4 linked regions of the Macaca fascicularis genome follow. The main gene of each other region encodes a partner of the protein of the gene in region 3 in a complex. Links are inferred from orthologs where the notes say so. Each region holds a gene or a part of one and is shown on either strand. Other genes may lie near its edges.

Evidence for each region.
Region 1: the proteins of GABARAP (region 3) and TP53INP2 are in contact, whole or in part, in a crystal structure (PDB 8T31), measured with the Homo sapiens proteins. The link is inferred for Macaca fascicularis from reciprocal best matches to the Homo sapiens genes GABARAP and TP53INP2. Residues at the interface, in NP_009209.1 of Homo sapiens: Tyr5, Glu17, Ile21, Tyr25, Arg28, Pro30, Val31, Ile32, Lys46, Lys48, Tyr49, Leu50, Val51, Pro52, Asp54, Leu55, Gln59, Leu63, Arg67, Phe104; in NP_001316358.1 of Homo sapiens: Glu31, Val32, Asp33, Gly34, Trp35, Leu36, Ile37, Ile38, Asp39, Leu40, Pro41.
Region 2: the proteins of GABARAP (region 3) and STX17 are in contact, whole or in part, in a crystal structure (PDB 7BV4), measured with the Homo sapiens proteins. The link is inferred for Macaca fascicularis from reciprocal best matches to the Homo sapiens genes GABARAP and STX17. Residues at the interface, in NP_009209.1 of Homo sapiens: Tyr5, His9, Lys13, Glu17, Lys20, Ile21, Arg28, Pro30, Lys46, Lys47, Lys48, Tyr49, Leu50, Pro52, Leu55, Gln59, Phe60, Phe62, Leu63, Lys66, Arg67, Phe104; in NP_060389.2 of Homo sapiens: Ala169, Glu170, Ser171, Trp172, Glu173, Thr174, Leu175, Glu176, Asp178, Leu179, Glu181, Leu182.
Region 4: the proteins of GABARAP (region 3) and KBTBD6 are in contact, whole or in part, in a crystal structure (PDB 4XC2), measured with the Homo sapiens proteins. The link is inferred for Macaca fascicularis from reciprocal best matches to the Homo sapiens genes GABARAP and KBTBD6. Residues at the interface, in NP_009209.1 of Homo sapiens: Tyr5, Glu8, His9, Glu17, Ile21, Tyr25, Arg28, Pro30, Val31, Ile32, Leu44, Asp45, Lys46, Lys47, Lys48, Tyr49, Leu50, Val51, Pro52, Leu55, Leu63, Arg67, Phe104; in NP_690867.3 of Homo sapiens: Ser663, Asp664, Asp665, Asp666, Phe667, Trp668, Val669, Arg670, Val671, Ala672, Pro673.

The regions. Positions count from the first base shown.
Region 1 is NC_088384.1:90,709,149-90,716,887, reverse strand, and holds the start of TP53INP2 (tumor protein p53-inducible nuclear protein 2), read right to left. Parts: upstream 5,131-7,739; 5' UTR 5,024-5,130; coding exon of another isoform or gene 4,894-5,023; 5' UTR 4,660-4,893; intron 1-4,659. Other genes in the region: PIGU (phosphatidylinositol glycan anchor biosynthesis class U protein), read left to right, coding at 4,894-5,023. UniProt on the Homo sapiens protein: Dual regulator of transcription and autophagy. Positively regulates autophagy and is required for autophagosome formation and processing.
Region 2 is NC_088389.1:58,211,196-58,218,766, forward strand, and holds the start of STX17 (syntaxin-17), read right to left. Parts: upstream 5,131-7,571; 5' UTR 5,095-5,130; intron 1-5,094. UniProt on the Homo sapiens protein: SNAREs, soluble N-ethylmaleimide-sensitive factor-attachment protein receptors, are essential proteins for fusion of cellular membranes.
Region 3 is NC_088390.1:7,285,738-7,293,043, reverse strand, and holds GABARAP (gamma-aminobutyric acid receptor-associated protein), read left to right. Parts: upstream 1-1,238; 5' UTR 1,239-1,357; coding exon 1,358-1,447; intron 1,448-2,019; coding exon 2,020-2,098; intron 2,099-2,238; coding exon 2,239-2,357; intron 2,358-2,775; coding exon 2,776-2,841; 3' UTR 2,842-3,276; downstream 3,277-7,306. Other genes in the region: PHF23 (PHD finger protein 23), read left to right, coding at 4,416-4,449, 6,017-6,048, 6,201-6,293, 6,909-7,306. UniProt on the Homo sapiens protein: Ubiquitin-like modifier that plays a role in intracellular transport of GABA(A) receptors and its interaction with the cytoskeleton.
Region 4 is NC_088391.1:20,475,693-20,483,494, reverse strand, and holds the start of KBTBD6 (kelch repeat and BTB domain-containing protein 6), read left to right. Parts: upstream 1-2,672; 5' UTR 2,673-2,963; coding exon 2,964-4,991; 3' UTR 4,992-7,802. UniProt on the Homo sapiens protein: As part of the CUL3(KBTBD6/7) E3 ubiquitin ligase complex functions as a substrate adapter for the RAC1 guanine exchange factor (GEF) TIAM1, mediating its 'Lys-48' ubiquitination and proteasomal degradation.

The DNA.
Region 1 (7,739 bases), on a different chromosome or scaffold from region 3:
GGGGTTTCACCATGTTGGCCAGGCTGGTCTCGAACTCCTGACTTCAAGTGATCTGCCTGTTTTGGCCTCCCAAAGTGCTGGGATTATAGACGTGAGCCACCGCGCCCAGCAGTTTTCATTTCTTGATGGTGTCCTTTGGAGCACAGAAGTTTTTAATTTTGATAAAGTTAAATTTACTTATTTCTCCTTTTATTGCCTGTGCTTTTGGTGTTGTACCATTGCCTAATTAAAAGTCATAAAGGTTTACTCCTATGTTTTCTTCTATGAGTTTTATAATTCTAGCTTCTGTATTTGGGTCTTGTGTTTTTTTATTGAGAACCATTGGTTTTATTCATACTTCATGTACACTCATTTTGAGAACTACTGATTTGGGTCACATCTGTCTACAATGGCTAATCACTGTTTTTCCCAAAGACAATCCTCACCCTAAGATAAATTTTTAAGTCATCTGTTAGAATGATGTAAATAACGTAACAGCTAAGTAACGTTTACTGAGCACTGGGTATGTGCTAAGCATTTTACATTGTACAACCTTGCTCAATCTTCACTATGAGGTTAGTGTTACAATTACTTCCACTTTTTATGATGTAATACACTCCACTGTAAGATGATGCAATATATCTATCTCCTCCTTTTATGTAAAAGGAGATACCAAAACCTACATATTTAAGAAGGAAGGCTGTGCAGACTAAATAAGCCCATGTGTGTTAAGCATATGGTACACTGCTTGGCACAGAGCAGGGGCTCAAAGGATGAGTGCCCCTCTAATTTCTTCATGATCCCCTCCCCCAAAGGAGACTCTGCCCCTTCCACTGGTCCGAAAGCTATCAGCCCCAGGGCTGATTTTTGCATTCTTTTAGAATCCCATTCCCCTTTTTTTCTTTTTTTTTTTTTTTTTTTTTTTTTGAGACGGAGTCTCGCTCTGTCGCCCAGGCTGGAGTGCAGTGGTCGGATCTCAGCTCACTGCAAGCTCCGCCTCCCGGGTTCACGCCATTCTCCTGCCTCAGCCTCCCGAGTAGTTGGGACTACAGGCGCCCGCCACCTCGCCCGGCTGGTTTTTTTGTATTTTTAGTAGAGACGGGGTTTCACCATGTTAGCCAGGATGGTCTCGATCTCCTGACCTTGTGATCCGCCCGTCTCGGCCTCCCAAAGTGCTGGGATTACAGGCTTGAGCCACCGTGCCCGGCCTACCCTTTTTTTCTTTTTCTTTCTTTTTTTTTTTTTGAGACAGTCTTGCTCTGTTGCCCCGGCTGGAGTGCAGTGGTGTGATCTCGGCTCACTGCGACCTCTGATCCTCGGGTTCAAGTGATTCTCCTGTCTCAGCCTCCCAAGTAGCTGGGATTACAGGTGCCTGCCACCTCACCCAGCTAAATTTTTTGTATTTTTAGTAGAGATGGGGTTTCACCATGTTGGCCAGGCTGGTCTCGAACTCCTCACCTCAGGTGATCTGCCTGCCTCGGCCTCCCAAAGTGCTGGCCATTTTTTTTCTTTTTCTTTTTTTTTTTGAGACAAGGTCTTGCTCTGTCATCCAGGCCGGAAGGCAGCAGTGTGATCTTGGCTCACTGCAGCTTCAACCTCCCAGGCTCAAGTGATTCTCCCACCTTAGCCTTCCCAGTAGCTGAGACTACAGGCGTGCACTACCATGCCTGGGTAATTCTTATGTTTTTTGTAGAGACAGGTTTCACCCAGGCTGATCTCAAACTCCTGGACTCAAGCGATCCTCCGGCCATGGCCTCCCAAAGTGCTGGGATTATAGGCGTGAGCCACTGCGCCTGGCCGATTCCCCCTTTTCTTTCTCTCATTATGGTTTGTGATTTTTTTTTTTTTTTGAGACAGAGTCTCGCTGTCACCCAGGCTGGAGTTATGGTTTGTGATTTTACTTACGTTATTATTTAACTATTTTATCTCTTCAACTGCTTTCCAAGTTACATAAGGGCAAAGGCAGATGGTGCCATTTTGTCTCTGCAATATTCCCCAACACCCAATAGAGGGCTTGTGGGAACACAGAGATGTTTGAAAAATGTATACCTGTTCACATCATTTCTGGTTTAAAATTCTCCAGTGGCATATGGATTGCACTTTGAATAAAGCCCAAATTCTCAACCATGGCCAATAGGTCCCTATCTGATTGCCCCTCGTCTTTCCATCCACAGCTTCTTCTATTCTCTCCACTTGAGTCATACTTGTTTTCTTTCTGATCCTCACACATACCTTGCCCTCTCTCCACTCAGTCCGTTCCTTCTGCTTGGAAGCTCTGATCAATTTCTCATCCTTTAGGTCTCAGCTCAAATCATCTCTTTGTAGAGTCTTCCCTGATCACTTTGTCTAGTGTTACCACCCTTATTATTACACCAGTAGTTATTCTCAATCATACACTGTTCCCCTCCCTCCCTCACTCCCTCCCTTCCTCCTTTCCTTCTTTCCTTCGACAGAGTCTGGCTCTGTCACCCAGGCTGGAGTACAATGGCACTATCTTGGCTCACTATAGCCTCCGCCTCCCAGGTTCAATTGATTCTCTTGCCTCAGCCTCCTGAGTAGCTGGGACTATAGGCACAGGCCACCATGCCTGGTTAATTTTTGTAATTTTAGTACAGACGGGGTTTCACCATGTTGGGCAGGCTGGTTTCGAACTCCTGACCTCAAGTCATCCGGCCACCTCAGCCTTCCAAAGTGCTGGGATTACAGGCATGAGCCACCACGCCCAGCCTGTTTCATTTTCTTCATAAATATGAAATTTCCTTGCACATTTAATATTATTATTGCTAATATTTAAGCACTTACTATACATTAATTAATGAAGTGTGCTGCTTAATGCTTATTAATGGGCTCTCCAAACCCCAAACCCCTGATTTCTAGTGTTTGCTGATTCCTGTGGTGTAAACACTTGCATCAGGAGGGATTTTCAATCTATCAACCGGAGGAAACTGAACACCACCATTTGGGAAGAGAAAGATATAGTATTTGCCGTACTGATACAGTGGTGGTAAATAATGTCAAAAGCACATATAAAACAAAAGTGTGGTAAAAAAATTAGAAAGTGAAGTGTTGAATATGTATTCCCTTGTTTTCAATATAAGTTATTTAACTGTAGGTTTATATATGTTAATTTTCAAAAATGGTTGTGTTTAAAAGTGACTGGCAAAATTTCTAAGCCTTCTGGCCGGGCACAATAACACAAGCCTGTAATCCCAGCACTTTGGGAGGCCTAGGCAGGCGGATCGCCTGAAGTCGGGAGTTCGAGACCAGCCTGACCAACATGGAGAAAAACCCTATCTCTATTAAAATTACAAAAAATTAGCCAGGGGTGGTGGCGCTTGCCTGTAATCTCAGCTACTTGGGAGGTTGACGCAGGAGAATAGCTTGAACCTGGGAAGCGGAGGTTGCAGTGAGCTGAGATCGTGCCATTGCACTCCAACCTGGGCAACAAGAGTGAAACTCCGTTTCCAAAAAAAAAGATTCTAAGCCTTCCTCAACCGTCCCTAGTGAGCCTACAATCAGCACCTTTTTCAGCACAGAAGGGTTAAGCGACTTGTTGAAGGTTGCAGAGCTAATAAATCAGTCTACTACCCCCAAACGTATCCGCAGAACCTAACATAGTGCCTGGAAAATAGTTGGCATTTAACAAACAACTGCCAGGAAAAAAAAAAATACACATTTAACACTCTTTAAAAACATAAAAAGTTACCAGCCTGGGCAACACGGCAAAACCCCGTCTCTACTAAGTAAAGTACAAAAACTTAGCCGAGCATGGTGGTGCGTACCTGTGGTCCCAGCTACTCTGGAGCCTGGGAGGTCCAGGATGCAGTGAGCCGAGATCGAGCCACTGCACCCCAGCCTGGGCGACTGAGACCCTGTCTCAAAAGCAAAAAACCACCAAACATAAAAGATAAACATTTTGGGCCGGGCGCGGTGGCTCACGCCTGTAATCCCAGCATATTGGGAGGCCAAGACGGACAGATCATCTGAGGTCAGGAGTTCCAGACCAGCCTGGCCAACATGGTGAAACCCCACCTCTAGTAAAAATACAAAATAATAATAATAATAATAGGAAGAAGAAGAAGAAGAAGTGGGGTTGGTGGTACATGCCTGTAGTCCCAGCTACTTGGGAGGCTGAGGAGGGAGGATCTCCTGAGCCCGAGAGGTCATGGCTGCAGTGAGCTATGATCGTGGCACTCCAGCCTGTCAGAGTGAGACCCTGTCTCTTAAAAAATAAAAAATAAAAAAAGAGAGAGAGAGGCCGGCGCGGTGGCTCACGCCTGTAATCCCAGCATTTTGGGAGGCCGAGGCGGGCGGATCCCCTGAGGTCAGGAGTTCGAGATCAGCCTGGCCAACATGATGAAACCCCATATCTACTCAAAAAAAAAAAGAAAAAAAACTAACCGCGCGTGGTGGTGGGCGCCTGTAATCCCAGCTATTTAGGAGGTGGAGGTTGCAGTGAGCCGAGATCACGCCACTGCACTCCAGCCTGGACAACAGAGCGAGACTCAGTCTCAAAAAAAATAAAAATAAAAATAAAAATTTTGGCATTGAAAACATACACGCAAGAGTGAAATTAACGTCTGTTTAAAAGTATCTCACAATCCCGGGAAGTCGACTACTTCCGCTTCTACTTTCAGCAGCGTTTCAGCCCCGCTACAGCGACGCCGTTTCACAACGCACCTGCGATCCGAGAAGGTTTCGCCCCACCCTCTGCACGCAGCTTGAGGCACCCGCTTTCCGTCGCTCCGGCCCGCCTCGCCGTAAGGCTTTCTGGGAGTTGTAGTCTCCACGTCTGGCCGCTCCGGTGGCAGCGGCGGCGCGCGGTCGCGCGCGGAACTACAGAGAGTGGCGCGCAGGTCGCGAGGCTCTTCCACCTCGCCTTCCCTCATCGCCCGCGCGCCCGCCCCAGTTATCATGGCGGCTCCCTTGGCCCTGGTGCTGGTGGTGGCTGTGACAGTGCGGGCGGCCTTGTTCCGCTCCAGTCTGGCCGAGTTCATTTCCGAGCGGGTGGAGGTGGTGTCCCCGCTGAGCTCTTGGAAGAGAGGTGAGGTCACTGGCTCGAGCAGACGGTCAGGCCCCGCCTGCCCTCCCGCGGCCTCTGTGAATGGGAGGCGGGGGCAGTGACCGCCAGCGCGCGGTTCCTAGAGAACTGACCCTCTCGTGGGGTACTCGGGGAGGGCGGGGCCTGAGGGCGGGGCTGGTGAGGGGAGCGGGCGTGGAGATGGTGTCGTGAGGTTTGGGCCCTGGGGGCCGGACCACCTAGTGGTGGGGATCTGAGGGGGCGTGTCCCATTCAGTGCCCTGAGCCGACGGAGTGTGGTCTGTGGAAGGGTTGGAATAAGAGGAGGAGGTGCTTGTGCAGCGCGGTTTGCAGAGGAGTTTGGGATTTGGGGCGGGATCGCGAGGGGGTGCTCCCTGGGGTGAGAGGTGATGTGTGAGGGAGTCCGGGATGAGGGGACCAATTTTGCTTAAGCGAGGAGAGTGTGCATGTGCTTTAGACGTCTCTTCTCAGTCTGGGACTTGCAGGGCAGTTTTTGTTACTGTTCCTTACTAAGTTCCTCATCAAACATTGTTTTATACTAACGCCTACAGCGAGAAACAGAAGTTGGGCTGAAATAACTGAACAGGCTAGTGAGGGAGACAAATCGTTATAATAATTTATGAAAAGTGTACTTTCTGTGTCCACCCAGTTCCTTCCTTAGTATTTTGACCCTGAATAAACTATCCCCTCTCTTTCCAGTTTTCCTAAGAATGTGGGATTTGAGCTGACTCTTGAAGGATGTAGGGTTTTGGAAGGGAGATTAGAGAAAAGGGTAGTTCCAGGTAGCAGAAAGTAAATGGGATGAAGAAACGTTCAAAGATGTGAAATGTCCAAAGTAGGGGAGTAATGGGGTGGAAGCTAGGTTTAGGCCAGAGTTTGATGAATTAAACAAAAAATAAATAAAATTTTATTTTAAACTGAAGTACAATATACATACAATACATATTAAGTGTAGAGTTCAATGAATTTTTACAAACTGTATTCACTCATGTAGCCAGCACCTACTTCAAGCAACAGTAGCAGCACCCCAGAAGTCCCCTTTGTGTCCTTTAAATGCTAAAGTTTTTTTTCGTTTTTGGTTTTGCTTTTTGTTTAGAGACAGGGTCTTGCTATGTCGCCCAGGCTGGTCTGGAACTCCTGGACTCAGGCAGTCTCACTTGGCCTCCCGGAGTGCTGAGATTTCAGGCGTGAGCAATGGCAGCTGGCCAAGGCTAAAGTTTTGATGTTATCCTATAGAAATGTTGGCATGGGGAATGGCATAATGAATGGGTGTTTTATGAATAGAGTTGAGGTTTCTAAAAAATGGTAACATTTTATATACCTTTTCTCATTTAGTCCTCACTTTTATTTCTATGTGATAGATGGTGTTATTTTCCCCCTTTTGCAGATGAGGGAACTGAAATTTAGAGAAGTTAATTTGCCCAGGTTTCCTACTTGGGGAATGGGAATAAAGATAGTAGTAATTCATGTCTGAGATTGTAAGACTTTGCATTTGTTACCTCTGCATATTATTTTTTTGTTGAACTAAATCGAAGCCATTTGGTTCCTGTTTTCTTCTGGGTAACTGAAGACCTGAGGCAGTATTAGGCCCTTCTTCCTCTACTCCCTATTAGGAGCATTTCTCATCTCATAATTACTTGTTTATATCCGGTTTTTCCACATTTTCTCTCTCTCTCTCTTTTTTTTTTTTTTTTGAGACGGAGTTTCGCCCTTGTTGCCCTGGCTGGAGTGCAATGGCACGATCTCGGCTCACCATAACCTCTGCCTCCTGGGTTCAAGCGATTCTTCTGCCTCAGCCTCTTGGGCAGCTGGGATTACAGGCATGCACCACCATGCCCGGCTGATTTTGTATTTTTAGTAGAGATGGGGTTTCTCCGTGTTGGTCAGGCTGGTCTCGAACTCCCGACTTCAGGTGATCCGCCTACCTCTGCTTCCCAAAGTGCTGGGATTATAGGTATGAGCTACCGCGCCCAGCCTCTCTCTCTCTCTCTCTTTTTTTTTTTTTTTTTTTTTTTTTTAAGAGACAGGGTCTCACTCTGACAGGCTGGAGTGCAGTGATCACGGCTCACTGCAGCCATGACCTCTTGGGCTCAGGAGATCCTCCCTCCTTAGCCTCCCAAGTAGCTGGTAGCTGGGACTACAGGCATGTACCACCAACCCCACTTATTACTGTTATTTTGTATTTTTTGAAGAGATGGGGTTTCACCTTGTTGCCTAGGCTGGTCTCAAACTCCTGGGCTTAAGTGATTCGCCCACCTTGGCCTCCCAAAGTGCTGGGATTATAGGCATAAGCTACCACACCTGGCCTTTTCCACTACCGTATGAGCTCCTTGAAGGACTCTGTTTTATTCATTCCTGAATTCTTTTATGTCTGGCATAGAGTAGGTGTGTAGTTACTGTTGAATAAATGGGGAAGAGAAGAAAGCATAGGATCTGGTTACTTACAGGAGGTTACTTACAGGATAGACAGGTGAAGGATTCCAAGATGAGACAATGTTGTTTGTTGATTAAGAGCACAGCGTCTGGAATGTCAGAAAAGGTTTGACTGTCTCTAGCTCTGCAAATTATAAGCTATATGAATTCTTTTTTTTTTTTTTTTTTTTTTTTTTGAGACAGAATTTTGCTCTTGTTGCTGAGGCTAGAGTGCAATGGCACGATCTTGGCTCACTGCACCCTCCGCCTCCCAGGTTCAAGCGATTATCTTGTCTCAGCCTCCTGGG
Region 2 (7,571 bases), on a different chromosome or scaffold from region 3:
TCAGTGTATCAGAGAGATACCTACAGTCCCATGTTTATTGCAGCAGCATTCACAATAGCCAAGATACGGAATCAACCTAAGTGCCTGTCAATGGATGAATGGATAAAGAAATTTTGGTATATATACACAATGAAATATCATTCAGCCATTTAAAAAAAAAAATGGGTTGGGCGTGGAGGCTCACGCCTATAATCCCAGCACTTTGGGAGGCCGAGGCGGGCCGATCACCAGGTCAGGAGATCGAGACCATCCTGGCTAACATGGTGAAACCCCGTCTCTACTAAAAATACAAAAAATTAGCTAGGCATGGTGGCATGCACCTGTATTCCCAGCTACTTGGGAGGCTGAGGCAGGAAAATCGCTTGAACCCAGGAGGCGGAGGTTGCAGTGAGCCCAGATATCACCACCGTACTCCAGCCTGGGCAACAGAGTGAGACTCTGTCTCGGAGAAAAAAAAAAAAAGAAAAAAAAAGAATGAAATCCTGTCATTTATAGCAACATGGATGGAACATGTAGCCTGTACTCCCAGCTACTCAGGAAGCCAAGGTAGGAAGATCACTTGAGCCCAGGAATTAGAAGCCAGCCTGGGCAACATAATGAGATCCCCATTTCTTAAATAAAAACAGGGAAAAAAAGTTGATCTCCTGGAGGTAGAAAGTAGAGCGATGGGAAGGGGCAGGAGGGATGAAGAGAAGTCGGTAAATGGGTACAAACATACAGTTAGATAGAAGGAATAAATTTTTCATGTTTAATAACACAGTGGGTACCTATAGTTAATAATTTATTGCGTATTTCAAAATAGCTAGAAGAGAAGATCTGAAGTGCTTCTAACACAAAAAAATAATAAATGTTTGAGGTGATATATATCCCAAATACCCTGATTTGATCATTACACATGGTATGCATGTATCAAAATATCACATGTATCCTATAAGTATGTAAAATTATTGTGTATTAATTGAAAAAATTTACATAAAAATAAAAAATATCTAGAAATAGAATTATTAGGCAGACAGATTTTTCAAAGTTTTTTTTAATATATATTGCCATATCCCACAAAAGGTTATGCCTACTATGTTCCTACCAGAAACATAACACGATGTCCATTTATCCATATTCCAACCAATGTACTTAGTATTATCATTCTTAGATATGCCATTGGTGAGGCCGGGCGCGGTGGCTCAAGCCTGTAATCCCAGCACTTTGGGAGGCCAAGACAGGCGGATCACGAGGTCAGGAGATCGAGACCATTCTGGCTGACATGGTGAAACCCCATCTCTACTAAAAATACAAAAAAACTGGCCGGGCGTGGTGGCGGTGCCTGTAGTCCCAGCTACTCGGGAGGCTGAGGCAGGAGAATGGCATGAGCTCGGGAGGTGGAGCCTGCAGTGAGCCTAGATCCGGCCACTGCACTCCAGCCTGGGCGACAGAGCGAGACTCCGTCTCAAAAAAAAAAAAAGATATGCCATTGGTGAAAAAAATGATGTCTCATTATTGCTTTACTTTGCACTCCTTAAATTACTAACGGGATGGATTTATCAGCCATTTGCATTTCTTTTTTCTTTTTTTTTTTTTTTGGCCCAGGCTGGAGTGAAGTGGTGTGATCTCAGCTCACTGCAACCTCCACTCCCCGGGTTTAAGTGATTCTCCTACCTCAGCCTCCCAAGTAACTGGGATTACAGGAACGCACCACCACGCCCTGCTAATTTTTGTATTTTTAGTAGAGATGGGGTTTCACCATGTTGGCCAGGCTGGTCTCGAACTCCTGACCTCAGGTGATTGACCTGCCTTGGCCTCCCAAAGTACTAGGATTATAAGCATGAGGCACCGTGCCCTGCTGCATTTCTTCTTTTTTTAATTTTTAATTTTTGTGGGTATATATTAGTTGTAGGTATATATTTATGGGATATATGAGTTATTTTGATACAGGCATACAATGTGTAATAATCACATTAGGGTAAATGAGGTATCCATCACCTCAAGCATTTATTCTTTGTGATACAAACAATCCAGTTATACTCCTAGTTATTTTAAAATGTACAATTGAATTATTATAGTCACCCTGTTCTGCTATCAAGTACTAGATTTTATTCATTCTTTCTCACTATTTTTTTGTAACCATTGCATTTCTTACTTCCATGAATTGCCTGTTCATGTCATACATATCTGTTTTACTACAGAGGATGTCTTTCTCTTATTCTCTCATAAAAGGTTATTAAATGTTAAATATATCAGTTACTTGTCTAACATTAACATTTCCCAATCTATCACACTGCCTCTTTTGTTTTCTATACTGCAAAGAGATATCTTTATATCTACCATCATTCCTATCAAAATGTTTTTTGAACACACCTGTTGTTCAATAGATGCTGCCTGAACTAAAATATTTCTTCACCATTGCTAATCCTATCACTCTAGTCAAATAGCACAATATGCATAGCACATGATAATGGAGGAGCTTCAATTAGTCTACCTTTAGACTCTTTCCCTCCAAAATGGAATAGAAACTATAAAAACATAAACTGTATTATAAATGAATAGCATAACCACACTGAAAGAAGTGAGGAAGAAAAATAATCTAAGCCACTTTAGAAAACAATATTTTAACTGAATACTGTAAGACTAGAGACAAAAGGAACTACACTGTCCTCTATTTAGTAAATGTGTTTCTCACAGGAATATAGGTCAGAAATCCTGAAATTACTTTATGTGTATACTAGGACTGAAAAAATAAGAAAACATTTTGTAGACTACAAGAGTCAGATTTCTCACTGTCAGATAAAGAAGTTAAAAATAAGGGACAAAACTAGAATGAACCCTGTGGTGTTAGACTAGAAGCAAAGCTACTGGGATGAACTTTTGTTTTTAAAAAATATATGGATAAATAAATACAGAAATAAATACAGATCTTTGTGTATACATGGGTATGCATATGTATAGACTGGTGTCTTCTGTGGGGCCCTGGAAGTAATGTTACCCCAGAGCAATGAACATCCCTAGAGCACAGATCTTTGTGTTTAAATACTATTCTCCAAAAAAAGAAACTATGGGTCTTTGGAGAAGTGGCTGATTATCAGGGCTGAGGCACAGAAAACATATGATGAGCCTGGGGCATCATATGGTACCAGAAAATTAGGAAGTTCCAAAAAAGAAAAAAAAAAAGGATGGAAGCATGCTGAAAAGCTACAGAAAGCAACCTAAAAAAAAAAAAAAAAAAAAAAAAAAAAAAAAAAAAACTCCAATGATCAAAGCTGAACAATTTCACACATAAAATAACACAAGTGTAAGATAAAAACCAATAGAAAAACATCTGAGTCCACATGGATACAAATAAATAACGGAATACAAATAAACAAATGGGAAAAGCGCAGCTCATCCTTACAGAATAATTTCAATTAATAAATAAAGAAATGAGGAAAGTAGAAAATCATCATTAGAACACCATAGTCATAATTGCTGAAGGCAAGATCCACCAATGGATGTGAAATTTAGCAAGGGAAAGTCTGAGGAGAAACAGGATATGCGTACAGTTTAAAAGCTCCCCCAAGATGTCAATTAATTATAAGGAGAAAAAATAAGACCTTTATATTGGAGAATCCCAGTAGACACTCTCTTACCAAGTGATCAAGAGTAACCTCACAAGCAATAAGTCATATCTATCAGCTACGCTCATATGATGAACTGAGAAGGGCACACACACTTTTGTGTTCTTAACAAAAAAGCATAGCCTTAATCTACTCATGAGAGAACACTGGACAAACCCCATTTGAGGGGCACTCTACAAAATAACTGACCAGCATTCTTCAAAAGCGTAAAGATCAGAAAGAGTATAAAGACTGAAAAAGACTATCAATGTAAAGACAGGAAAAGACTGAGGAACTGTCACAGACTGGAGAAGACCAAGGACCCAAGACAACTAACTGCAATGTCGGGTCTTAGAGTAGATCCTGGAATAGAAAGAGGACATTAATACAGGAAAAAAAAAAAATCACAAGTCAGTAATTCGGTTAATAGTATTATACTAACTTCCTGCTTTTGATAATTGCGCTATGGTATCTAAAAAATTATTAATGGAAGCAATAGGGAACTCTGTACTACTTTTGAAACTTTTCTGTAATTGTAAAATTATTTCAAAATAAAAAGGTTTTTTATGTATAAGAAGATGTTTCACGTAAGACAGGTAGAAACATTTAGAAGTCAAAGAACTGCAATGGTATTCACTGCATTAATACTTGGAGAGAGGGGTGCCAGGACTGTGCCAGGTGCTTTACAAACTTTATCATGTAGTGCTTACAACTAATATGAGATGGGTACCATAATACTTATGTTTCCCAGTAAGTTACTTGGGAGGTTATTAATAAGTGAAAGACCCCATTTCTCAGAAAACCCAGCCCCCAAAAGTGACGAACACCTTCCATCGGCTCAGAGGTCCCACTTTTCGGGATACTGGTGGCGCCCGATTTCTTCGGGCCCGCCGCTTTGGGTTTCTGAGTTATGGAAGAGACAGTGAATTTGGAGAGAAAAGTCAATGTGAGGTCTCCTCTCTGAACCTCAGATAGCTAAAAGGAGGGAGCCAAGGGGTGGGACCTTCTGCGAACCACCTCTGGGTCTGGTGAGCAGGGGCTTTCGGCCTCTCGCTCCCTGTCCACTCCCCACTACCCTCGAGCGTCGCGTCATTCCTCGCAGTGTCACCCACAGCACACCTGGGCCACACACAACAAACGCCCCCACCAGCGAACGGATGCGCGGGTCTGTCCCGGAACCCAGACGCCGGCGACCCTGGCGACCCGAGGCCTACAGCGCGCCAGAGACAGGACGCGCGTCGGAAACTTTTCCACCCTGCGACCCCGGAAGGCCGTCCCGCTCGCATCGTCTGCGGCCTCCCTATACCAGTTTCTAATAAAGCTTCCAAAAACGAAACCGAGAGAGGCTCCGCCACTTCTGAAAGACAGGAGCAGCCACCATGGGGCTCGCACTTCTGATCCAATGCCCCACTTGCCTCCCAGCGCCTCTTGCGCGCGCCACAGGGCGCCCGGCCCACCAAGCCTATCAGGGCCCGACGCCCCCAGAGGCGGCCTCCAGAGAGCCCCTTACCTCCCGCCGTGGCGCTCGAGGCCGGTCGGTGCGCACGGCGCAGGCGCAGGAGCGACGGGGCGGGGCATCGCGAGGGGTGGGCTGGGCTAGGCCCCGCCCCCTCCCCGTCCCGCGAGGCAGCAGGGTGGGGTGCGGGGGACGCGCAGGTGAGTACAAATGCGGACGCCGCTCTGAACAGCGAAAGCCTTTTTCAAAAGTGATTTTGATTTACATTATGGGGTTGTGACTCGAGCCAAGAGGAGAGAGACGCACAAACCCTCTTCAGGTCTGCTTGTTGTGTTCAAGACAATTCATGCTTGTATGGCCGACTGCATTTTGCAGTTTTCCTGTCTATTTTCCTCTGTTCTTCCTAGAATTTTATTTGCGGGTTGGGCATGTATTCTTAGCTCTGTTTTGAAACTGAAGCTCAGAAAGGTTTTGCCTCCCCATCCCATCCCCAAAAACCCTGTGAAGTGGACAGGGCAGAAGTGCCATCTTAATTGCAACAGGTGCAAAAATTAAAGCTCAGTCAGTTGTGGTTTCCTCCAAAAACTGGTGGAGGGCTTAAGGCAAACGTCTTTATCCCGATTTTATAGATTATGACTCTGGGGTTTAACAAAGAGTTTTAAGTGACTGATTCCAGTTTAGCCAGCTTATGACAGAGCTGGAACTCCAACTGTGTGTCCTAATTTCCTTCCCAAGTTATTCCAGTTAGACCAGCTGCTACCACATGAACAAGCAGGTGACCGGCTTTGAAGCCTTGTCCAAGTCACAGGTCTTCCTCTCTTCATGGCCTAACTTCCAGATCCAGCCGTTTTTAAAAGATGTCTGTAAATATTCAGATGACGTGCTTAGAATGTATTCACTAATGGTATTGTCTCAGAAGTGATCAGGATGTTCAAACCACAGTTAAGGAAACTCAGTTCTTAGGGTCTTCCAGTAGAATTGGAGGTAGAAATTGTGGACCAGGGAAGATTAGGGGCCCGTAGATCCTTTAAAAAGCCTTGAAAGACAATTTCTAAAACAAAGCACCAAATCTACCAAGCAATTTGGATTTTCTTTGGGAACATAATGTATGCTGATGTTTGTTTTACAATGAGCCCCAAAATGTGTTTATCAAATTTTGATTCTAAGGAGAAAAATTAAAGTATTAGTCAATACCATGAGAAAATGATGTTTATGCAAGGATCAGTGAAATAAGACCTTCTGAAATGAAAGATAATTTGTGTTAAGTTCTGAAGAACTTCCTCAGGTACAAAATCGGGAGGTGTGGTACTCAAAGATTCTAAATTTGGACCTGGACTTCTAAGTTGCTATGTGTATGTTTGCTATAAGTTAGATGTGTCAAAGTAGTAGGATAAAACTTTTTTTTTTTTTTTTTTGGAACAGAGGCTTGCTCTGTCGCCCAGACTGGAGTGCAGTGGCGTGATCTCAGCTCACTGCAACCTCCACCTCCCAGATTCAAGCGATTCTGCTGCGTCAGCCTCCTGAGTAGCTGGGACTACGGGCGCCTGCCACCATGCCCGGCTAATTTTTTGTATTTTTAATAGAGACAGAGTTTCACCATGTTAGCCAGGATGGTCTCAATCTCCTGACCTCGTGATCCACCCACCTCGGCCTCCCAAAGTCCTGGGATGACAGATGTGAGCCACCGTGCCTGGCCAAAACTTTTCAATCTAACTGTTGGTTAGCTTGATGTATAATCTTTAAATATTCAAACTTACGGTGTATAGACCTCTTTCTGTAATCTGGGTCATCAAGTTGTTAGGGGCAGGCCTGCTACTACTAGCCAACATTTTCCTGAAGTCCTAACTGAACCCAGCAAGTCCAAACAAAACAAAACATTAAGTATATATGTTGGAAAGAAAATAAAAAATAAATTCTTTTAGAGTATTATGATTGATTGCTTTCTTGGAAAATCCATGGAATAAATTGAAACTAATTCAATAAGGTGGCTATAAAATACCTCTCCTAAACAACAATCATCAATTTTAAAATGCAGTGGGAAGAAGACTGGGTGTGATGGCTCATGCCTATAATCTCAGCACTTTGGGAGGCTGATGAGGGAGGATTGCTTGAGGCTAGAAATTCAAGACCAACCTGGGCAAAATAGTAAGACCCCATTTCTAAAAAAGAAAAGAAAAGGTAGCTGGGTATGGTGGCATGTACCTATAGTCTCAGCTACTCAGGAGGCTGAGACAGGAGGACCAGTTGAGCCCAGGAGTTTGAGGCTGCAATGAGCTATGATTCCACCACTGTACTCCAGCCTGGACAAAAGACTGACACCCTGTCTCTTAAAAAAAAAATTGAAATAGGAGAAATATTGCATTCAAAAATAACAAAATTCAAGTTTGTGTTTATAAGGAATTACAAGACCTATTTGAAGAATTGAGAAAGCTAGATGAGGGATAGGGGTGGAAGGAAAGATCACAAAGGGGCATGAGGAAACTTTGGGGGTGATAAAAATGTTCATTTTCTTGATTGTTGTAATGGTTGCA
Region 3 (7,306 bases):
TGGGATTTTGGGCCACTGGATTTTCCCTAAATTTGTCCCCCCTTTCCTCTCCTTCTATTTTTCTCTCCTTAGACTCCCTCAGACCTGTAACCAGCTTTGTGTCTTTTTTTCCTTTCTTCTCTTTTAAACCATGCATTATAACTTTGAAACCAAAACGGCCCTAGGTCCTTCTCTGGGGTTTTGGGAAGTGAAGGGAGGGAACTTTGTTTACATGCACCCTGTCCCCCGAGCAGAGAGGGAAGAGACTGCTGTTGGACTCAAGGGGCAGGGGGAAAGGTGGTGTTGAGTATGGGGATACAATAATGAATGTGGCCACCAGATGCTTTGGCGGGAAGGGCCGAGGATGTGCGCGCTGGTGGGGAGTGGAAAGATACCTTCGGAGCAGCAGGCTAGAAAGCAAGTAAGGAGAAACCTGGACGGCCAAAGGGCGTAGAGCTGGAGAAACGTCGGGCTTCGTCCGGGGTACTGACGTGGACACGTTAAGCGGGCGCTGGCCCCAGGCGGCTGGCGCCCCGACCTCCGCAGTCCGGGGAGGCGTAGGTCCCCACTCGCCGCCGTCGCCCAGCCGGCCCCGCCTCCCCGGCGCCCTCCCAAGCCGGCCCTACTTCGCACACCCGCCACGTGACGCTCCGCCCTCTTTGAGATCACATGATTTCACTCAAACCGTGCGGTGTTCCTCCGCGCTGGCGTAGTCCCTACCCCTCCAACCTCCTCTCCAGTCCCTATTGGTCTACTCATTCTTGGCACTTAAGCGTTCTGTACATCTCTCCAAACATCTGTTTTCTTTTTGACCTCTTACTTCTGGAGATCATCTCCGCCACTTGGGTACTACTTTGTTTTGGTGTCAACGGCCGCCTTCAGCGTAGCAATACGGTTCGTGAATAGCTAACCTTGTAATTGTCTCTGCTGTTCCTCTACGTTGTTTCCGAAAGGAACTTGGAGAAGCAAGTCTCGTATGATGATTACCATATCTTACTCCTCTTCAGCCCCAGCTTCGTTGAGGGGAAGGTTGGGGAACAGATTTAGAGTTATTTTCCATGACCAAAAGCCAACCGTCTTTGCTACGTCGCCTGCGTAGCCCACAAATTGATTCCAAAGCGATTACGCTAATGGCGTGAGGGGGCCGGTCAGTGGGTGGTGCTACGCTAGCAGCGTTAGCACCGCTGAGGTAGTGGCGTATCTTAGTGGGGGGGCCGTCCCCGATAGTCGGGGGCGGGGTTGGTGAATAGGGAAGTGGCGCAAATTCGTGGATCGCTCCGCTGAATCCGCCCGCGCGTCGCCGCCGTCGCCGCCGCCCCCCGTCCCGGCCCCCCCGGGTTCCCTCAGCCCAGCCCGGTCCAGCCCGGTTCCCGGGAGGATGAAGTTCGTGTACAAAGAAGAGCATCCGTTCGAGAAGCGCCGCTCTGAGGGCGAGAAAATCCGAAAGAAATACCCGGACCGGGTGCCGGTGAGGACAGAAGCCAGGGCCGAGGGCGCGGGACGCTTACGCTGACGCCACAGCCTGGCCTTGGATCTGGGACGGGCAGCGCAGGGATCAGGCTGCTGGCTGTGTTGGGGTTGGGAGCGAGCCTGAAACTGCTGTCCTTGGGACCGAGGATGAAAGGAGTGGGGTAGTGGTGGACGTGGGGTTGAGAGGGATGTGGACAGGAGAGAGAAACCTTAGCATTTGTGTGAGTGGAGGCCTTAGAGAGTTTGACAGCCTGAGCCTCAAATGGCCATACCCCCAACTAGCTAAGGTTGCGAGATTGAATCACTAGTGGACCCAGACAAGTCATCTCCGTCTGATTAAGATAGTTGTTTATGGTGACGCCCTATTCGGTGGATGGATCCTGGATATTTAAATAAGCTCCAGTCAGTGAGGTCAGGATCTCTGGGACTCAGTGCTGCACCGCGTGTACAAAGACAAAGAGATGAGTCTGGGGTAGATTTAGGTACTAGGAATATTGTTACTTGAGTTCCTGACAGGTGCAGCTTTGGCGCTGCATTCCTTCTGTCTGCTAATTTTCGTCTCTTTATCAGGTGATAGTAGAAAAGGCTCCCAAAGCTCGGATAGGAGACCTGGACAAAAAGAAATACCTGGTGCCTTCTGATCTCACAGGTGGGAACCTGACCCAAGGCTCAGGCTTGCTTCCCGTGGGTGGGAGTGCAGTCTCTGTGGGAGAAGGCTCCACCTAGCAGCTGTTCTTTTGAGGGCATTTTTGACCTCTGTGACTTTCTTGCACCTTGTATCTTTTGCAGTTGGTCAGTTCTACTTCTTGATCCGGAAGCGAATTCATCTCCGAGCTGAGGATGCCTTGTTTTTCTTTGTCAACAATGTCATTCCACCCACCAGTGCCACAATGGGTCAGCTCTACCAGGTATGGTGACCGGGAAGTGGTGGAGGCTTTGGAGAGGAATCTTGGAAGAGCGTGAGGGGAAGAAAGTGTTGTTACATCAGTATTTTGGACTAGCTTCCTCGCTTGCCTTAACATTTCATAATAGCCGTGGTTTGGGGGTTGGGACAGAACAGTAGGAGTAGAGAGAAGGAAAGAGAACAGTGAACTAGAGAAACTGTTCGGGACTCTTCCCAGTCTTCCTCCCCATTCCAAAGCAGCAGAAAACAGTTTGAGGCCTTTTTTGCCCAGGACTGCAGAGATTATATTGCTCGTGTGCTAGGCCTTGGAGTCAGTGAAGGAGTCGGGCACTGGTTTCTGGTTCTAGAAGAAAGTGTCTGGGTCGTGGTTGGTTTAAGGAACTGGAGCCCAGTTGCTGAACAGTTTTCTGCCTTCATCCCAGGAACACCATGAAGAAGACTTCTTTCTCTACATTGCCTACAGTGACGAGAGTGTCTACGGTCTGTGAAGCTGCTGTCCCTGAGCTGGAGGGGGGTCTCATTCTACAAAGAGAGAGGTGGCCCCCTTTTCTTGACCTCCTCCTCCTTCAAGCTCAAACACCACCTCCCTTATTCAGGACGGGCACTTCTTAATGTTTGAAGTTTTCTCTCCAGCCTCTTTTCGGAGGGGTAATGGTGGAGTTGGCATCTTGTACCTCTCCTTTCTCCTTTCTTCCCCTTTCTCTGCCCGCCTTTCCCATCCTGCTTTAGACTTCTTGATTGTCAGTCTCTTCACATCCAGTGATTGTTTTGGTTTCTGTTCCCTTTCTGACTGCCCAAGGGGCTCAGAACCCCAGCAATCCCTTCCTTTCACTACCTTCTTTTTTGGGGGTAGTTGGAAGGGACTGAAATTGTGGGGGGAAAGGTAGGAGGCACATCAATAAAGAGGAAACCACCAAGCTGAACTGAATTTTGCCTTGTGTTGCTCCCCTCGTCCCGCTGATTTTTAGTCTTTCCAAGGTGTCAGTGGGTTTCAGTGGTGGGGAAAGGAGTATTGGGTACAAGCTGGAGGAATAGAAGTATATTTTGGTTTATTCTGTCCATGTTGGGCTTTTCCCTGTCTGCAAAAAGAGGGTGCTTTTTTGTGATGGAATGGAATACTGAGGATCATTTAATGAAACTTTAGTTTTATGACATGTATGTGAAACTGAATGTTAAAAATGCTCACGTAAAACTTTTGTTTTTTTTTTACTGTGGGTTCCTGTGGAGAAAGTTCCAAAGTACCTGCTTTAGGTGAACATCCACATTTGCTAGAACATTCTAATTAAGGAAGATATTTTCATGTGTGTAAGCTAGTAAAACGGCTGTTCTCAGTTGCATGTCACTTGGCTAGACTTTTGCCGGTGTGTGGGATTCAGCAGAGTGGAATCAGGGAGGGAGAAGACTGGGAGGGGGAGCCATTATCGCCAGGAATACTTCATCTCCCAGCAATCATTTCTCCGGCAGGCCGGAAGTGGGGCGGTCCCTCGGGGGAGAAAGAAGCTGCAGAACGAGACAGTATGGTGGCCGAGAGTTCTAATCCCTTCTTCCTCTTCTTTCTTGGTCCCGCCCAGCCTACATCTCCCAGGGGCCTGCGCGCGCACTTCCGCTCTCTCCTCTGGCTCCCGGTCTCCCCGCCACTCCCCGGGGGAGGGGAGCGGCTTGGGGCGCCTGCGCCAGCCTGTGGCTTTCTGGGAATCAAAGTTCCGGAGGCTCATGCGGTCCCTTTTCCGCTGTCCCCGGACGGACTACAAAACCCTTGGTGCACTGCGCCTCGGCGCCGGCGGAGGGAGGAGGGAGAGAAGAGGAGGGAGGGAGGAGAGAGGAGGAGGAGGAGGAGGAGGGAGCAGGCGGCCGGCGGCGCGGGGGGAGGGGGCCCGGTCCGGGAGTGCGGGAGGCAGTGGTAGAGGGAGGTGGCGGCAGCGGCTAGCGGACTCGAGTCTCAACCGGGCTGAGGCGGACACTTCTGTGGAGCGAAGCAGTGGGAGCATCGAGCACTAGAGGCGGCACCGGGATCCCCGGCTCCGGGGAGGGGGGCGCCGGACCGGGAGGAGGGGAGGGGGCGATGCTGGAAGCCATGGCGGAACCCAGTCCCGAAGGTGAGCTTTCGACCGGCGCGGAGCGCTGAGCCGGCGGGGGGGCGGACGAGGAATCAATTGGCAAACTTGGAGGTCGAGCCCCGAAGCCCAGCGGGGGAGTTCGGGGAGGGGGTCGGGAGGCTGGCCCTGGAGGTGGGAGAGCGACGAGTTGAGAGACCTTGGAGAAAGAGGAGTGGGAGACTGGGCTGGGGTAGTTGGAGATCAGACGGTGGGGGGGTGCGGGGGATAGGAGCTTGAAATCCGGAGCCTCGGGGGTTAGGGCCCGAAAGGGCCACCGGCAGATTGGGGCCCTGGAACTGGAAGGTTGGGGAAATCCAGTGGCCGGGAGTTGCTCAGGAGGGAGGACGTAGAAGAGGCTGAGTGAGGGGCCCGGTAGTTCGCCGAGGTGGGGTAGTTTGTGGCGGTGGTACGGGAGCTCCGAATAGTTGCCGCCGGAGAATGCCCGGTGATTGTCGGAGGGGTGGGCAGGTAGTTGTGGGGAGAAGAGGGGGTCTGGGTATTGTCTACGGCAGACGGACCTGTACCGGGGGGTAGTTGTGGAGAGAGCGAGCCAGGAAGCGAGGCGAGCTGGGTAGTTGTAGGGGGTGGTGGGGCGGGGTGGGGGGGTTAAGACCGGCGACTTGCGGGGGGGTTAGGGTTGGTCCGCGAGGGTTAGAGCCTGGGAGTTGCTGAGGGTGAGGGGGGCATCGGTGGCAGCAAAGGTGGCTGCTGTGGAGAGAGAGTGGCTGGTTGGGGGGAAGGGGCTGGAGTTGAGGGGTCCATAGCCTAGTGACTGGGTGGTGAGTACGGGGGCGGAGGGGGGGCGGCGGCGGCCGGAGAGGGCTCGGAACAGGGCCGGGGGGCCCGGCGGGGAGCCCGGGGAGCTCGAAACGAGGAGGGGCCAAAGCCCCGGATGGGGGCGGAGGGACGGCGAAATTGTGGGGAGCGCGGTATGGGGGGGGCAGGTGGGGCCGCGTCCGGGTTAGAGCTCCCGGGTCTGTCCCGGCCGTGAAGTAGCGTTGGATGCGTGTGCCTGTGTGTGTTTGGGGTGGGGGTGAGGGGCGCGCCGGGCCGCGTGCTCGAGTAGAAGGGGCCGGAGGGCGGGGAGCGGTTCGGCGTGGTCATCCTGGACCCTGGGGGCCGGCGGGCGGCGTGTGCGGTCTCGGAGGGCCTGAGGCGGTGGAGCGCGGTCGGGTAGGAACTCGGGGCTCTGGACGCATGTGAAGGACGGGGGCGGCGGGCGGCGGCCCGGACGCGGACCCGGGAGCGGTAAGGTGGGGTGGGGCGCTGAGGGATCCGAGTAGACTGGAGTCGAGAGAGACCGTGAGTTGGGGGGGGCGGGGCGCCGGGCCTCCGGTTGGGGGAAGGGGAGCGCTATAGCGAGGCCTCAGAGGGCGCCGCGCCCAGGCTCCGCCCCTCGCGGGGCGGAAGGGGGAGCAGGGGCGGATCCAACACAGCTGGGGGCCTGCTGGCCTGGCAGAGGGACCTGGGAGAGCCGGGGGTTCACTTAGGAACAACAGGGTTTAGAGGAGGAATTTTACACAGACTGTTTCGTAGTGTCTTGACTCAGCTTTTATTGCTTTTCCAGATCCACCTCCGACCCTGAAGCCAGAGACTCAGGTGAGATTTCCTTGATCTTTGCAGCCTAGTAGCCCTGCCTGACAACGCCCCCGCCCCCCTTTTCTAGACGCCTCACTTAGGGACTGTGTCTCTGAGAATGCCCTTCTTAAACTGTGTGGCTTTCCATGTGATCCATGTCTCCTTCCTTTCAGCCACCAGAGAAACGGCGGAGAACAATTGAGGATTTCAACAAATTCTGCAGTTTTGTTTTGGCATATGCTGGTTACATCCCTCCTAGCAAAGAGGTAGGGGCAAGAGAATTACTGACTTGAGGCTCGTGTCGTGGGACTAGAGAGTGGCTGTTGTTCACATAGAACTGTACTGCTTTATAGGAGGAAGCCCCTAGAAATATGTAAGACTAGAGGGAAGTTGGAGATTCTTAGGACTGTGGTAGGAAAGCTGGTATGCAGGGAGTGGATGGCAGGGCTAGCTAGCTTGAACAGCAGTGAAAAGCAAGGGGGTTCTGGAGTTGCTGGTCGAGATTTTGGCAGTCTTGAGGTGCTGTGAATAGAAGGTGTTTATGGATAAATTTTAGGGAGATGAAAATGGTAACAAATTAGGCTACACAGAAAAAGAGCTAAGGACATAAGGCTCTGGTCTGGGGGACACCGTGTTCCACAGGCCCTGGGCGGGGCAGCGGTGAGGTATCAAGACTCGAAGGTGGAGGTAACACGGAGTGGTCACGAGGACATGCTGATGGGAATTGGGGTGGGGAGAAGTTTTGGGAGTACAGTGGGATTTAGTGGTTGAGGTAGAGGACATTTTGGGGTAAATCTAGTCACTCCTTTTCAAGCTGGGTTTGTGGAGGGGCTGAGATGACACTGGGGTTCTGCTGACCCTGGTCTCTTTCCCCTTTTAAGGAAAGTGACTGGCCCGCCTCTGGCTCCAGCTCTCCATTGCGAGGAGAGAGTGCGGCCGACAGTGATGGCTGGGACTCGGCCCCCTCAGATCTTCGAACCATCCAGACTTTTGTTAAGAAAGCAAAGTCATCCAAGAGAAGGGCAGCCCAAGCAGGTCCCACCCAGCCAGGACCCCCAAGGTCCACTTTCTCTCGTCTGCAGGCCCCCGACAGTGCTACCTTGCTTGAGAAGATGAAGCTCAAGGACTCTCTCTTTGATCTCGATGGGCCCAAGGTGGCATCTCCTTTGTCCCCCACATCCCTGACACATACCTCCCGGCCCCCTGCTGCTCTTACCCCCGTGCCCCTTTCCCAGGGGGACCTCTCCCATCCTCCTCGAAAGAAGGACCGAAAGAACCG
Region 4 (7,802 bases), on a different chromosome or scaffold from region 3:
TTACAGAGAAAAGCTTTTAACCATGCTGAAAACATGCCAACTATGGTTAGGACATTTTTGTACCCATGAGACTTTGCGAGTTTATATATTTTCCAATGAAAACAAGGACTAGAGAGAGTTGACTCTCATCCTTGTCCCACTTTACATGTTGACTAGGATTGTGTTTCTGGCAGATGGGGCAAGTTCAAGTTAACGGCTCAATATTAGGGCATCTCGAACAATATTTGTGGAGATCCTTCAGATTTTCTTTGCCATAATGTGTAACCTCATGGAGGCTGCAGAATAAATTTTAGGTGAGGGACCGAGAGAAATCAAACAGTTGTCTAGGTGTCTCCAAAGCCCATCTGAGTAGATAAAACATCCAGCTTGTTGCTTTTTTGCTTTTTCAGCCTCAGGTGCTAGCAGCTGTTATATCTTAAGTTTCTTAAGAGTTTCTATCTTTAGAGTAGGTTAAGCAAGGAGAAGTATACATGTGATTCAGGGGATGTCTTCTTGGGAAGCAGAAACCTTAGCATATTTTCAGCCAGTTAAGTTTCCTTTAGCTTTGTTAGTCTAGCCACTAGTGTGAGCTTTGATTTTTGAGAACAGCTAATTTCTGGATAGCTGTAAAGACTTAAATAGGAGGGCCGGGTGCGGTGGCTCACGCTTGTAATCCCAGCACTTTGGGAGGCCGAGGCGGGTGGATTACCTGAGGTCAGGAGTTTGAGACCAGCCTGGCCAACATGGCGAAACCCCATCTCAACCAGAAGTACAAAAAAAAAAAAATTAGCCGGGCATGTTGGTGGGCACCCGTAATCCCAGCTACTCAGGAGGCTAAGGCAGGAGAATTGCTTGAACCCGGGAGGCAGAGGTTGCAGTGAGCCAAGATCGAGCCACTGCACTCCAGCCTGGGCAACAAGAGCGAGACTCCATCTCAAAAAAAAAAAAAAAAAAAAAAAAGATGTAAATAGGTTAGCGAGTTGGGTTCTGATTGGTACTCCTCAGTTGTCATAAACCTCTTTCTTTCCATAGCATACCAAAATCATGTACAATTCCAAAAGTAAACTGGCTGTCTGTATAAATGTTAGTTCCCTTATCTTGTGCTAACATGCAAGTTTGGGTGAGTGCTTAAGAATTCAATGATTTGGGCCACGTTAACTTAGGTGGAGATTTCAACTTAACAGGCTGTTGAAAATCTGCAATAGTGTATCCTGCTTAAAATTCCCCATTTGTACTCCTGAAGTAAGAACCATCTACAAAGAAGGTGATATCAAGGTCTCTGAGAGGAGTTCTGGTGATGTCAGAGTGAAGAAATGTGAATGACTGTGTGACGGTGATATAGTCACAAGGTTGTCCTTCAGAGGGAATGGGAAGAAAAGTGGCCTGATTGTTTTGACTACAGTGGACAGTGATGTGAGAGGAAGACAGTGGCAGGGTTTCACAGGAGGTGAGTCCAAAGTGGAAACGTGTTAGGTGTTCTCAGTGACTTCTAATGTCTGAACTACATGGGTAAGTAAAGGTTGAGTGAATGACTAAAAATAAAGTCAGTTCTGATGGAGCAGCAACTTCATACAAGCAAGGGGAGAAATGCTTGAGCCTCTGGGTCTAAAAGGATGCTAAATTACCAACCAGGCCTCTGGCTTCCCTTGTGTTTTGGGGTGAGGACCCCTAAAGCATGTCTCTTCTTTTATGTAAAAAAGGGAAAGGGGTACTGAATATTGGACAGACCAAGTGGGAAAAGTGGCTAGAGAGGACTTCAGATTTTGAAATGCAGATATGGAAGGAAAGTCTCAAAGTAAGGTGATTGGAGGTGGTTTCCTTTTAGTCATGGCAAGTAAGGACAGGCAATTGTGAAAAAACCAGGGATCTAATTCCAGCAACAGCCAACCAATCCTACAAACCCTGAGTTAATTTTTGGTATCAGGGAGAGGCACAGTGAGTAAAAAATAAAAATAAAAAAAATTCACTTCTACTGGATGCATACACTAATACAAGGTGTTAATAATAATAAGGGAACTGTGAAGTGGGGAGAGATATATGGAAGTTCCCTGTCCCTGCTGCTCAATTTGTCTGTAAACCTAAAAATAAAATCTAATTTACACACACACACACACACACACACACACACACACACCCCTAAAAAGGGATCTCTGCTGCAATTTGCAAGGTTTTCTGTTTTCGGGGGCTGTTTTTTGTTTTCCTACAGGCTCATAATTTCAAATTAGTGATGCTTCCTTTTTTTTCTATATATATAAAGGCTAGAAGAAAACTTGTCGAACCTTTATATTCTAAGAACTGAGTAATTATTCTACAAACCAACAAATATTAACAGCGTCCTATAACCAACTCATTTAATCTTCACACAATCCTATGAAATACTACTGTTCACATTTTACAAAAGAAGAAACAATTCAAAGAGACAAGTCGAACAATACATACTAGAACGAGGCGACTACTGTGGATTCCAAAACCAAAGTTCCAAACCACAAAATCGAATCTAGGAAAACTGGCGCTCTCGAGTGTCGTCAGTTAAAAAACAAGGAACACCAGAGAAGGATCGCGATATTACACAAACTACTACTCCCAACATGCAAAGCGGATTCTTTCCCTCGGTATCGGCCTGGGAGTCCGAGAGGCCCAGCAGCCTTCGGGGCGCGAAAGGCAACCTGGGAGCGGTAGTTCTCCTGGGCCCTAGTATTGTCGCCCACGCGGCAGTAGCGGCTTCTACGGCTCCAAGCCAGCGGGTCCTGTGAAGGCGAGCAGACGCGGAGAAAGGACGCGGGAGTGAGAGAGGGTGAGTCAGCTACTGTCTAAACGATAAAGGGAGGCGGCTCCGCAGGGTAGGGCTGAATTCAGTAAATGGGCTCGTGCTGCGGTCTCTTGGGAGACGCTGCTATCTTAGCGTCAGCGAGGGAAGGTTGAGGAGGAGCCAGAGCCGGGTCCTGCAGCCTTTCTCGCCATCAGCGCCCGTCGCCATCTCCACCATGCAGTCCCGGGAAGACGCCCCGCGCTCTCGCCGCCTCGCCAGTCCCCGTGGTGGGAAGCGGCCCAAGAAGATTCACAAACCCACGGTTTCGGCCTTTTTCACGGGTCCAGAGGAATTAAAGGACACGGCCCATTCTGCAGCCCTGCTGGCACAGCTCAAGTCCTTCTACGATGCGCGGCAGCTGTGTGATGTGACCATCGAGGTGGTGACGCCTGGCAGCGGGCCTGGCACGGGTCGCCTCTTCCCCTGCAACCGCAATGTGCTGGCCGCCGCGTGTCCCTACTTCAAGAGCATGTTCACAGGTGGCATGTACGAGAGCCAGCAGACTAGCGTGACCATGCACGATGTGGACGCTGAGTCCTTCGAGGTGTTGGTCGACTACTGCTACACGGGTCGTGTGTCTCTCAGCGAGGCCAACGTGGAGCGCCTGTACGCGGCCTCCGACATGCTGCAACTGGAGTATGTGCGGGAAGCCTGTGCCTCCTTCTTAGCCCGACGTCTTGACCTGACCAACTGCACCGCCATCCTCAAGTTTGCAGACGCCTTTGGCCATCGCAAGCTGCGATCCCAGGCCCAGTCCTATATAGCTCAGAACTTCAAGCAGCTCAGCCACATGGGTTCAATTCGGGAGGAGACTCTAGCAGATCTGACCCTGGCCCAGCTGCTGGCTGTCCTGCGCTTGGATAGTCTGGACGTGGAGAGTGAGCAGACAGTGTGCCACGTGGCAGTGCAGTGGCTGGAGGCTGCTCCCAAGGAGCGGGGTCCCAGTGCTGCGGAAGTCTTCAAGTGCGTGCGCTGGATGCACTTCACTGAAGAAGATCAGGACTACTTAGAAGGGCTGCTGACCAAGCCCATCGTGAAGAAGTACTGCCTGGACGTTATTGAAGGGGCCCTGCAGATGCGCTATGGTGACCTGTTGTACAAGTCTCTGGTGCCAGTGCCAAACAGCAGCAGCAGCAGCAGTAGCAGCAGCAACTCTCTTGTATCTGCAGCAGAAAATCCACCCCAGAGACTGGGTATGTGTGCCAAGGAGATGGTGATCTTCTTTGGACACCCCAGAGATCCCTTTCTCTGCTGTGATCCATACTCGGGGGACCTTTACAAAGTGCCGTCACCTTTGACCTGTCTGGCTCACACTAGGACTGTCACCACCTTAGCTGTCTGTATCTCTCCTGACCATGACATCTATCTAGCTGCCCAGCCCAGGACAGACCTCTGGGTGTATAAACCAGCTCAGAACAGTTGGCAGCAACTTGCAGATCGCTTGCTGTGTCGTGAGGGCATGGATGTGGCATATCTCAATGGCTACATCTACATTTTGGGGGGGCGAGACCCTATTACTGGAGTTAAGTTGAAGGAAGTGGAATGCTACAATGTTAAGAGAAACCAGTGGGCATTGGTGGCTCCACTGCCCCATTCTTTTTTATCCTTTGACCTAATGGTAATTCGGGACTATCTCTATGCTCTCAACAGTAAGCGCATGTTCTGTTATGATCCTAGCCATAATATGTGGTTGAAGTGCGTTTCTCTGAAGCGCAATGACTTTCAGGAAGCGTGCGTCTTCAATGAGGAGATCTACTGTATCTGTGACATCCCAGTCATGAAGGTCTACAACCCAGTTAGGGCAGAATGGAGGCAAATGAATAATATTCCCTTGGTCTCAGAGACCAACAACTACCGGATTATCAAGCATGGCCAAAAATTGTTGCTCATCACCTCTCGCACCCCACAATGGAAAAAGAACCGGGTGACTGTGTATGAATATGATATTAGGGGAGACCAATGGATTAATATAGGTACCACATTAGGCCTCTTGCAGTTTGATTCTAACTTTTTTTGCCTCTCTGCTCGTGTTTATCCTTCCTGCCTTGAACCTGGTCAGAGTTTTCTCACTGAAGAAGAAGAAATACCAAGTGAGTCTAGCACTGAATGGGACTTAGGTGGATTCAGTGAGCCAGACTCTGAGTCAGGAAGTTCAAGTTCTCTTTCTGATGATGATTTTTGGGTGCGTGTAGCGCCTCAGTGAAATGCACAGGATAAGCAGGGTTTGTTGTAACTGAATTGAAACACTAAGTTGTTTTTACTGTTTTGGAAAATATCTTAAATATCCTTTTTGTTCCTAAAGGAAAGGAAAAGTTGATTAGCTGCCGGTTTGGTTTAGAAAAAGTAATATTTGAAATACGAAGGTAATTTAATATTACAAATGTTAACACTCAGATCAACCTTTTAATAATTTTCTGTGCTAAGGGTCCAGTATTTATTTGATTATTTAGTATGTTTATGTTTCATGACACTAATTTAGTCTTTTGATAAATTTTACATTCTGTTTACTGCCACAAGCACTGTGGCAGTAACTTTTGAATTTTAATGTTTATGATAGAAAAATGATTAGGAATTGCTAGATAGTGTTTTGAAAGCTTATCTTTTTCTTCGGAACAATGTAGATTTCCAAAATGGTTAACCTAAGGGGTCTTTGCAAAATGTGTTATAAGTTAAACATAATTTGGGAAGTTTTACTTTTGTTTTCTTCTATGAAGAAAAAAATGCAGGCCGGGCGTGGTGGCTCACGTCTGTAATCCCAGCACTTTGGGAGGCCGAGGCAGGTGGATCACCTGAGGTCACGAGTTCAAAACCAGCCTGGCCAACATGGTGAAACCCCATCTCTACTAAACATACAAAAATTAGCTGGGCCTGGTGTCGTGTGCCTGTAATCCCAGCTACCCAGGAGGCCAAGGCAGGAGAATTGCTGGAACCCGGGAGTCAGAGGCTAGAGAGAACCGAGATTGGGCCACTGCACTCCAGCCTGGGTGACAAAGCAAGACTCCGTGTCAAAAAAAAGTATATGTGTGTTAGGGTGACTGAATGGTGATTTCATTTATAATAATACAGAGAATAGCTATAAGCTCATTGACAGTAAAAACAACAAACCAGGATTCTGCTGTTTGAAAAGAAGTTTCGTTTTAATTTTGGAATTTAGGATGCAGATTTGCAAAGCGACCAATTTTCATCTAAAAAATTATATTCTGGTTGTGTCACCAAATCATCAAAAAACTTTAAAAAAGAAGTAACTTGCTTTGTAGATTTGTATTGTTGATCTAAACCTGATACATGCTTCATTTAATCAGAGGAATAATCCTTTTTTCGCTGGACATGTATAAATTTCACTGGATTGTATAAATTTTTATCTATTGCCTTAAAAATGTATGTGATTCTCAATATGTTTTAGCTGCACAGTTTTGGTGTTCATCTTAGAGGATTCTTCAGCAGAAGTGATATTTCTTTACTGTTTTGTGAGGTAATACTGATTTTGAAAATATATATAAGCTAAAAACAGAATTTCGTTGATATCAGTAGTCATTGTGTTAACTATGAAGTCAAGTGCCAGCAAAGAACTTTAAAACTATAAAGCTGTGTATAGAACTGTTTTGTGTAGCATGGAAATACTCTGTCAGCTTTTTAAAGTCACTAAATGTTCTTGATTATCAGCTTGAAGGTATTTTTGTATTACAAGTTGACAGTTGCTGGGTGTAGTGCCTCATGCCTGTAATCCTAGCAACTCAGGGGGCTGAGATGGCAGGATTGCTTCAGCCCAGGAGTTTGAGAGCAGCCTGGGCAACATAGCAAAACCCCATCTCTACAAAAATAAAAAATTTGTCTGGGAATGGTGGTCCAAGTCTGTAGTCCCAGCTGTTTGGGAGGATCACTTGAATGTAGGATCACTTGAGTCTGGGAGTTCGGGGCTGCAGCTATGATCACATCTCTGCACTCCAGCTTTGGCAACAGAGCAAGATCCCATCTCTTAGAAAAACAAAGTTGATAGTTGAAGAACATAAGTGGATGATGGCATTTGAGGCCACTGGTGAAAGTATGTTTTCTCTAAAATATTTCTCTAATAGTGATATAAATGGCTATTTTATTATGATGTTTGTATGTGTTTTGTATTTCTCTGTAAACCGTGCTCCAGTCTTTGTTTTTCTGTTACCATAATGTAAGAGAAAGTCCAGGAACAGAGACTACATCCCACGAAACTGACATTGTTAAACACACTAAAACAAAAGTACTTACCTCTTGAAGATTTAATATATAATGCTTGACATGATACCTGTACATGATAAATGACCAGATGCTTATGGTCTACATTTTCCTTTATTCTGTTAGTATTACCTTCCTTAATCTTTGTTCATTAACACGCTAATTCCTCTTCAGTGTTTATTTTCTAGTGACAGAATGTTAATATTTGTTACACCCTGGCAGAAGGGAGAGAAATGTGTTTGGGGTGGGTAACTAAATTTTTGAGTGAAATATCCTAAGATGAGAATGGAAGAGGGAGACACAAAAAGAGTTATAACAAAAAACAATAGTTTTTTTTAGCCATTGACTGGCTCTTTAAATAGTCTACAAGACATTCATGTTTAACATCACTTTTAGTGAAATAAAATGTGCCGTACTACTATGTGCTTCAAAAGGGCAAATGTGCTTTAGTGCCCTAAGGCTAAATTTTGGTCATTTGACATCAGAGATGTTATAAGTATTGAACTTAATATGCGCCTATTTCTCAATAGTGTTATTTTTTGGCTAGCATTTTCTTTACCATTATCTTGTTGATAGCTTTTTGTTCTCTAAGGTTGAAACATGACAGTGCTAATCTCAAACAGATTACCCATCTGCAGAATTAAGGACAGCAATTTATGTATGAAAGACATTCTCCAATTCGTCATTCTCAACCTTTGAATTAAAGCTTAGACTAAATAGTAGTATATCGTGGGAAGGATTTTGGTTTTGTGATATTTCTGTGAATTAAGGAATAGATGTTAACCATTATTTTGTAGAAAAGTGA